Linked DNA regions of Schizosaccharomyces pombe. Changing the gene in region 2 together with the main gene of any one other region gives a genetic interaction. Each region holds a gene or a part of one and is shown on either strand. Other genes may lie near its edges.

The links.
Region 1: mutations in cwf21 (region 2) and sum2 together harm fitness more than expected from each alone (negative genetic interaction), as found in Schizosaccharomyces pombe (2 studies listed by BioGRID).

What each region holds. Positions count from the first base shown.
Region 1 is NC_003423.3:265,434-270,190, forward strand, and holds sum2 (translation initiation inhibitor), read left to right. Parts: upstream 1-2,022; 5' UTR 2,023-2,056; coding exon 2,057-2,109; exon of another isoform or gene 2,110-2,147; coding exon 2,148-2,206; exon of another isoform or gene 2,207-2,244; coding exon 2,245-2,426; exon of another isoform or gene 2,427-2,534; coding exon 2,535-3,521; 3' UTR 3,522-3,975; downstream 3,976-4,757. Other genes in the region: trm6 (translation initiation factor eIF-3 gamma subunit Gcd10), read left to right, coding at 1-35, 172-1,465; SPOM_SPBC800.14C (uncharacterized protein), read right to left, coding at 4,274-4,756. UniProt on the Schizosaccharomyces pombe protein: Required for G2/M phase checkpoint control.
Region 2 is NC_003424.3:2,561,970-2,566,234, forward strand, and holds cwf21 (protein Cwf21), read right to left. Parts: upstream 2,282-4,265; 5' UTR 1,995-2,281; coding exon 1,992-1,994; exon of another isoform or gene 1,921-1,991; coding exon 1,042-1,920; 3' UTR 508-1,041; downstream 1-507. Other genes in the region: rog1 (lipase), read left to right, coding at 2,310-2,337, 2,502-4,265. UniProt on the Schizosaccharomyces pombe protein: Involved in pre-mRNA splicing. May function at or prior to the first catalytic step of splicing at the catalytic center of the spliceosome. May do so by stabilizing the catalytic center or the position of the RNA substrate.

The DNA.
Region 1 (4,757 bases), on a different chromosome or scaffold from region 2:
GACAATGTTCGTTTTGTAACATTGAAACCAAACAAGTAAGTATGAGGATCTTAATTTACAATTTAAAGTACATTTTCAATGATAGCAATTGAAATTGTTTTTTGCATAAGGAGATAGAGGTGATCTAGTTTATCTCGTTCATATTGATCTTACTGACTTTATATTAAATAGTACAATTCACCTCGGAAAATTTGGTTCATTTCTCGCTGATGATTTGTTTGGAAAGCATTTTGACGAAACTTTTGAAATTTATCAACCCAAAAAAATTCGAGTTTTAAAAACAAGGGAGGTACAGTATATCGAGGAAGAAAAGAAAACGAATCAAGAACTTAATGATTGTCGAGGCAATCAGCTTATGACTCAAGAGGAGATTGATGAACTGCGCGCAAACATTAAAGCTGGTGGACTTCGTGCTGAAGAGGCCATCAAACAGTTGACTAATAGTAGTAAAACTTTTGAGCAAAAAACTTTATTTGCTCAGGAGAAATATGTTACGAGAAAAGGGGAAAAGTATCTTCAACGCTTTCAGGTTTTACGACCTTGTGTTGAAGTTGTGGCTAATTACATGATTGAACATGATCCGTATAAGATACTTGATCTTACTGCCGAGTGTATAAGCTTGATGCTTACTCTTGGAAATGTTAAACCTGGGGGTAGATATTTGGTAGTTGATGAGACTGGATGCATGTTCCTTGGTTCTCTTATTGACCGTGTTGCTGGTGATTGCAAAATAACCCTGGTCCATCCAAATGAGCAACCTAATAGCTCTTGTTTAGAGTATTGGGGGCAAGACTTTAAAGAGGATAGTTTGGTTCAAAAAGGGATTTTGAAAACTTTGAATTGGTATCAAGTTACGAATCCAACCGAGACTTTAAGTGAGTATTCGGTTGAAGATATTCCTGAATCAGAGTTGAATGAGATGAAACTTCGCCACCGTAAGCGCTATGAAACGAAGAAAGCTACATTTAACCGTTTGAAGAATACTATTGATGATTTTGAAAGTGGTAACTATGATGCTCTCTTTATACTATCTATTCACACCCCAATGTCTGTTCTTCAACATCTTCTTCCAAAGCTCGGTATATCACGTCCTTTCATGGTATACTCAACATATCAGCAAGTCTTAGTCGAGACGTATCATCAATTATCTAAATGGGATAACTTATTTGTAGAAAAGACAGCTCAAAGTACTGAAAATGACGAAAAGGTTGATCAAGGAGACGTTGCTATTGATACACAGAAAGAGAAAGTCATCATGCTGGATATTCATGAGATTCGTACACGACCTTACCAAGTCTTGCCAGAAAGGACTCATCCATTCATGACTGTTAGGGGTGATATGGGTTTCGTTTTATCTGGGATCAAGGTGTTAACTTCTGACAGCAATCTAGCTGCCGGAAGGTTTCCAAAACGTAAGGGCCAGAAAGAAACTTCTTCTGTCAAAAAAGCAAAATTGGAAAATTAGATATGAAATATTACTTTTGGAATATTTTTTTCAAGGCTACTCTATTAGATCAACAAGGGGAGTTACAATTTTGGACATAAACTCAGTTACGTTGAATTGGGAAAAGGTTTTTGTTATATTAAAAAGTTTTTTGTTTCATTCTTTAACTTAAAATTTTCATACGTATCAGAAAATGAATATGTTAGTTGGATAATGTAATTGACGGTGCGGTTTCAGGTTAACTCAATTTTGAAGAGCGTTAAAGTACAGTGTCTTTTGCTTGGCATTTTCATTCTTTTTAAAAATAGATTACTTGTAATAAGTATAAAATTAGTTACAATTTGACTGCTGCACATATACGTATTTAAGTAAAATAAGTAGTACATGGTCAGAGCAGCTGTGGATAGCCTTTTTGATCTTAAGCATGTTAATTTTAAATAAATATAAAAACTGATGAAAAAACAGCTTATAAATGACAATGTCGCATTTTGGTCTTATTTACTCGGTATAATGAACCCCATACTAGCGCTATCGCCAAGTTCGTTAATTTCGAAAGGACACCTAACCACGCTCCTTTCACCACTAAGCTTTACTTCGTCGAGTTTATAACCAATGACTGAATTTATTGGTTCTCGTATTAGTCTAATTAGCAAATCTGACATTCGGTACGTGAGAGCATTATCTTTCCTTTACTAATATTTAGTTATGTGGGCATTTTGCAGGACATCAATTCCCAGGACTCAACACTGGCTTTGAAGCATGGTAGGTTGAGTACCCAGCATTGATTACTAACAGTTTAGTCCGTTGGTGTGGTACTGAAGGAAGAAAACAAGATCCCTCTCAAGAAATCCCCCCATCAGATAATGTATTTGATTACATTGTTTTTCGTGGAAGCGATGTTAAAGATTTACGGATTGAGGAACCTGCTACTACTCCTTCTGCTCCCCCGGTTCAACCTCCTAATGATCCTGCAATTATTGGGGTATGTTACGTCTAAAGAGTGGTGGAGATTCTCATTAGTATATCTAGTATTAATTATCTTTGGCACTCTTTATATATCTGACAAGATCATGATTTTAACTATAATTAGTCTAATAGCGGGCAGTATAATTGGAACCAAGCGCAGACTGCCCAACCTCCTCAGCCTGTTCAACCTAACCCTTATGGAGCTCCATACCAACAGGCTCCTCCAGCAGGTGCACCTTACTATATGTACCCGAATGCTCCCGCTCAATTTGTACCTCCTGGAGGTTTGCCTTTGGGTACTCCCTTAGACGCATCCACACCTGCGGTCCCGTATTATGGGGCACCTGATCAACAGCAAATGGGTCAACGTCCTGAGTTTGCTCAAAATGTTTCTCAAGGGTTTGCCGGTCAGGCCCCGTACAACGTACGTCCTGGATACGGAATGCCTTCAAACCAGAAGCCTCCCAACTTTGCTCCGGGCATGCCTGCTCCTGGTCCTACCGCGGTATCTGCATCTCCGTCTCTTCAATCCATGCCGCCCACGAATGGAGTGATACCAGGTGCACAGCCCTCCATTGAAGCATCTATTGAAAAAGAAAGTACTAGTATACGGAATTCCACTGTCACAAATGACCGTGTTGTGAATACTACTGTGGATGTCTCTCAATCCCAAACCGTTGAAACATCTGGACCTTCTAAAGAAGTTCCTACAACTCAACCTGATGCTAGTGCTGCAAAGCCTCGTACCGAATTTGACTTTCAAACTGCAAATCAAAAGTTTCAATCGATGAAAGATGATTTGTTAAAAGGAAAAAATGATGAAGAAGCCGAAGAATTTTACAAGCCTAAGCAATCTTTTTTTGATAATATTAGTTGTGAAAGTAAAGAGAAGGGTATGGAAGCTGCAGATAGAAGAGCTCTACGAGATCGCGAACGTTCTTTGAACATGGAGACATTTGGCGTTGCTGGCTCTGGAAATCGCGGCCGTCGTGGACGTGGTCGTGGACGTGGTGGTAGAGGTCGTGGACGTGGATATGCAAGAAATCAATATAACCAATACAGGAATTCCAATGGCTCTCAACCTAGAGCCCAGCCTGCAAACGACCAATGAACTGCATTTCTTATAATGAGTACAGATGAAGTATCCTCGTTTCTCTAGATTGAGCTTCGTCTTCGTTTCAATCATGATGAACTCAAAATTTATGGACATGTATTTAACGACCCGAAAAAAGGTGTTCTCTTATATAAACCAAAAGGATTAGTCGTTGTTATTTGATATTTAACTTAGGAGTTTTGTTAAGTTCTTGTAGAGTGCTTTAAAAACTATACTTATCTGCTCATGTATTACGCAAGAAGAACAAGCATTGAAACGATATCCTATACCGAGATTTCGTAAAGGTATTACGAATAAATGTTAATGGGTTACATATAATTACCAAAAGGTTGAAGACTTAACCAATCCGCTAATGTTTATTCTTTTATACACCTTGATAGACCCAAAGCATCGCTGGTTGCATGACTGAACATTGAACAACCCGTGTTTTTCAACAGTCGTTTCGTTTTTGAAAAGCGTTTTGTAAAAATTTGATTCAGTCGACTTGTTTGAAGCTGACAAACTATAGAATCCAAACAACAATGTTTGAGCAGTATGAACAATTTATAAGCGAATCGTTTTAAAAATAAAAATGTGCTCTCTTAATTTTAGCATTTTTTAATAGTTTAAATTTCACGAACTTAACTACGTGATATAGTGTTTTAATAATCAGCAGTAGAAAAATTAGAACTTAATATTATTTGATCATCAACGAATATCGGAACGCAAGAGTTAACACGTAAACGATACATTACAATTATGTTTTGTTATCAAAAGTAAATTGATCCAGCGATTGAAGCTAAACCAGAGAAAAACATAAATGCGCTTCGAAATAAGTTTTTAAAACCCCATCTGTGAATTATACTGCGGAAATTTTGAGTAGCCTTTACATCTTTAAGTATTAGATCTGGATTTAACGTTTGTAAAGAGTTAATGTCCTTTTTCATAAACAAAAGCGTGAAAGGAATAATACATAGTCCAGATAAAGCCGATATAGCATACAATTTTGAAGAGAATATACTTCTCTTCCGTTCCGAATAAGACAAATAGCCCTGAACCAGAGCATTGGCAATGGCTAAAAATGGGAAGCTCTTTTTGCCCATACTATATATGTATTTCCATTGAGCCAGAGCGACGTCTGCAGGACCGATTAAAATAGCAGGCAACACTTGACTGGTAATGTAAGCAATGGCTCCTGCACTTCCGCAAGGAGTAAGAATTCCGACAGATTGAAACAAATAGACAAGACTCATC
Region 2 (4,265 bases):
ACAAGCTAGTCGAAAATTTTTAACTAGTTTTTAATTCAGATTTCGATAGAGTAATCGCGTTAAATATATTTACCTGTCCAATAAAAAATTTCGATGAAAAAATGTTTTTTTTCTTTTCAATTATCTACAGAAAACTAATTAATTAATGCTTTGCGACTTAGCAAGAAGTTGTAATACGTGTTTAATGTACTGTAGTATCTAGGAAATTGAAAGTTATATGAAACAATAGATATTTATTTTAAAAAAGTTAAAGCGATTGGAAATCAAGATTTGAATGTATGATTAATTTTGTTTAGAAAAAAAAATGGGTTTTCTCTCAATGTCGCAGTGTCATCCTTGTGCAGGGGCCATGCTCTAAACAACGAGTTAGTATGACTCGAACCTTGGTAAATATTGTTACTTACAATCTTCTCTGTATCGTTTCAATTTGACCAAAGTGATCCGAAGATCATCAGAAAATAAAAATTGTATTATTTATAATTAAACTTATATTATAATTTTTTTTATAAATTGGTTTTATTATATAATTAATATTGCTTTAAAGCAAGTTCATTTTGTAAAATATATATAATAAACATTATTGGTATAAAAGCTCTGAGATTTACAGTATGCAGGAAAACAAAGCCGCCAAGAGCTACTTTGACTAAAATCGCGTGAATAATCTCGAAAATCTTTATTAAAAAGATTCTTTTATGCTTAATTAATGAATTTAAAATACAAATGTAAAAGCGTAATTGTAAATTTAAAATTGCTTCATTATCCCTCCGTGAAAAAGAAAAATATCAAATGATGTTTAAATCGTGCAACTTAACAGCCTTAATATAAAGTCGATAGTATTTTTTCTTTGAAGAATAATATTTTTTATATCATTGAACAGTCGTGTGCTTCATGGGATTTGACTAACGTGTATTGCTAACCAAATATTCATATTAATCCAACGATTGTTGATGACCCGAATAATTATCCAATATTAATAAACAATACATGCTTGCATGAATTGCCTATTATATTATTGTTTTAACTGGCCTAACTCTTTGGGCCTCATACAATTTCGCCACCCTCAGGAGAGGAATCCCTGTCCACAACAGGAATTGACTCATTCTTCGTATAGGAGGGTGAATTGCTTCTTTCTCTCCTTCTATGATAAGAATACCTTTCCCGTTCATCGTGTCTATTATAATCTCTTCTGGGTAATTCAGAACGCCTTGAGTAACTTTCATTACTACTCCGTCGTCTTTCTAATTCATCGTAGGAGGAATACGAATCGTAATGTCTTCTTCTATTTTCATTGTAATTGTCCACATGCCTTTTTGAATTTAATGATTTCCTCTCGGAATAACGCGGGTAATCATAATAATCATCGTCAACTGATGATCTCAAATCGTCTCTTTCTTCTAATCGCCCATCATCGTCATTTTTCGAGTGAAATCCTCTTGTTTCTTTTCTTTTCTGAGGTTGAAGAATGGATTCAAAATTTTTTCCTTTTTCAGTAGATTTTTGTAATTGCAATTCTTTAAGTAACTGTTCTCGATATTTTTGTACTAAAATTTCTACATCAGCTTCATCTAAAGATTTAGTTTTCGATTGTGATTGCTCATCTTTTATAATTGCTTTAGGTGGCTTCGGGTTTTCAGTCCCAAAATTTGTATTGGAATCAGATGCCGCTGCATCAGTGCTGTGTTGGGAACTGACCTCCTCCAACAACTGCTCTCTGTACAACAACAACTTCGACTCAATTTGTCGACGGCATTCATGCTCGCTTATTGAAGGATCTTGAACCCGTTTTTCCAGAGCTTTTGCATTTCGATTTGACTGTAGATTTGTATTTTTGTCATATTTTTTTACGTGAGACAGATTCCGCATTACGTATCCATTTGTTCCTGATCCTCTTGGAGTGGGTAATCCAATTCCATTATACGACTTTAATTGTTAGCAAAGGACTCAATTTTGGTGTCTTCTTCATTAAAGAAAGCTTTTTATGCATCTCTTACCATCTTGCTTTATTTCCCGTGAAGTCGTTCGATTTTTGCTTTTGCTCAAAAATTAGAAAAACTGAGTTTATATAGGTTCGTCGAACAGCTAGTCTAACAAAGGAATCGAGCGAACAAATTTTACCGGTAGGACACTGATAAATTCGCGTTACTTTTTACGTGATATGAGCAACTAGCGATTTACTAATTGAAACAGATAAAATTTTATCCCTATTCGTTGACCGGTATTGAAAAATAATTGATATCTCTCACCTTTCACGAATAGCTAATTTTCAGATTTACTAGTTTTTGAGTTGTCATCGCTTGACTTCTGACATTATGAATGTATATGTACAACGAGATGACGGTAAGTTACTTTAAACAAAATTTACCACTCCTTTAAATTGTATTTGCAAGTTGATATTATCAGCTCGTTATTTAAAGTTTCGATTTGTTATGCTTGTTTCGATGCAAAAATTTTGGGATGGCATATAAATATTTAATACTTGTTCTAACATTGGCATGGTACAGTTGGTTTAGGTCAAATACATCGATTTCGAATTTTTGTGCAGAGTGGGGGCAATTTGCATTCGGCAACGTCTTCTACAACTGTGCCCCCCACTGTGAACCTCAATTCAGTGACTAAGAAAGAGAGTGGTAGCATCGAGGATAGAGCAGGTTCAGGTGGGATGACAATCTCTAGTGGGGAGAATATCAGCAAGCAAATCTCAGAGAATAATAGTAGCACGAATCCGAAGCATGCAAATTCAGAATCCTCACCTCTTCTTTCCAGCGATTTTTCATCTTCTTCAAAAGATTATCATAAAGTTGGTGCGTTTACAGATAATACCAATGCAATCAACATACCTGAACAAACAAGAGGTGTCTCTCATACCTCTTCTTCTCCTTCTGTAGGTACTTCATTCTCTTCTATTAATCTTCGTGAAGTAAAAAATCCCTTGGCAGGAAGCGACTCTACAGCTCCCTTCATAAATTCGACTAACTCGGTACTTTGGATTCGTGTCAGGAATAGAGAAGCACGTTTCCGCCAGGCAGCCTATCTTCAAGGTCCATTTACATTATGCGTTAGCGTTTGGAATGACCAATTTTTTGATGAAAAAAATTCTTTATTAAACTTTGATCCTCAGGTACAGCCCTCTACTAGTTTTTGGGTCTGTGTACCTTATTCATGTTTTTCCAATCAGCAGCCTATTTACATTGAAATTGCAAGTCAGGCGATTTTTAAAGATAGATCTATTAACTTTGAGCTTGCTATATCGCAATCTCAACATTCCATTCGAGCCATGTCAGCTGCTGATATCGATACTCTTCATGCATTCCCTGCTCTACACGTTGAACATCAAACTCCGGAAAATTTATGGCGTCTTCCGTATTCTTCATTTCATTCAAAGAATTCACATTTGGTGGTGCTAACTCATGGAATGCATTCTAATGTTGGTGCTGATATGGAGTATTTAAAAGAAAAACTAATAGAATCATCAAAATCTGTTAAGGAACTAGTAGTTGTTCGAGGATTTACCGGTAACTACTGTCAGACTGAGAAAGGGGTTCGCTGGCTGGGTAAACGACTTGGTGAATGGCTGTTGGATATTACGGGCTGGGGAAGTGCATCTTTTCCTCGATATTCCCATATATCAGTTGTCGCCCACTCACTTGGTGGATTGGTTCAAACATATGCTGTTGGTTATGTACATGCAAAAACGCACGGTGCCTTTTTTCAGGCTATTCACCCTGTGTTTTTTGTAACTTTGGCAACTCCTTGGCTCGGTGTTGCTGGTGAACATCCTTCTTATATTGGTAAGGCTTTGTCCTATGGTATCATTGGTAAGACAGGACAAGACTTATCTTTAACTCCACTGAATCACTCCATTGAATCAAGACCTTTCCTTGTTTTGATGTCTGATCCTTCCACGCCTTTCTTTCAAGCTGTTTCGTTTTTTGAAAAAAGAATATTATTTGCAAATACTACCAATGACTATATCGTCCCTTTTGGAACTAGCGCAATGGAAGTTAGTTCTTTGGGTAAGGTAGAGGAAGCTGAGGGTTCAGATAAGGTTATGCCTACGCATATGGAAAATGGCATTTCACCAACACTAAAAGAAAATGAGCAAACAGTTCAAAGTGTCGGAGATAATGCAAAGAAAATCCATGCTTCTTCAGAAGAATCTGGATCTTCATTTTCTAAAGCTCTTAAATCCTTTGTAGGATTGTTCAGTTATTCGGCATCCAAAACTACAGATACTGAAATTCCATTAGTAAAAAATGAGGATGAAA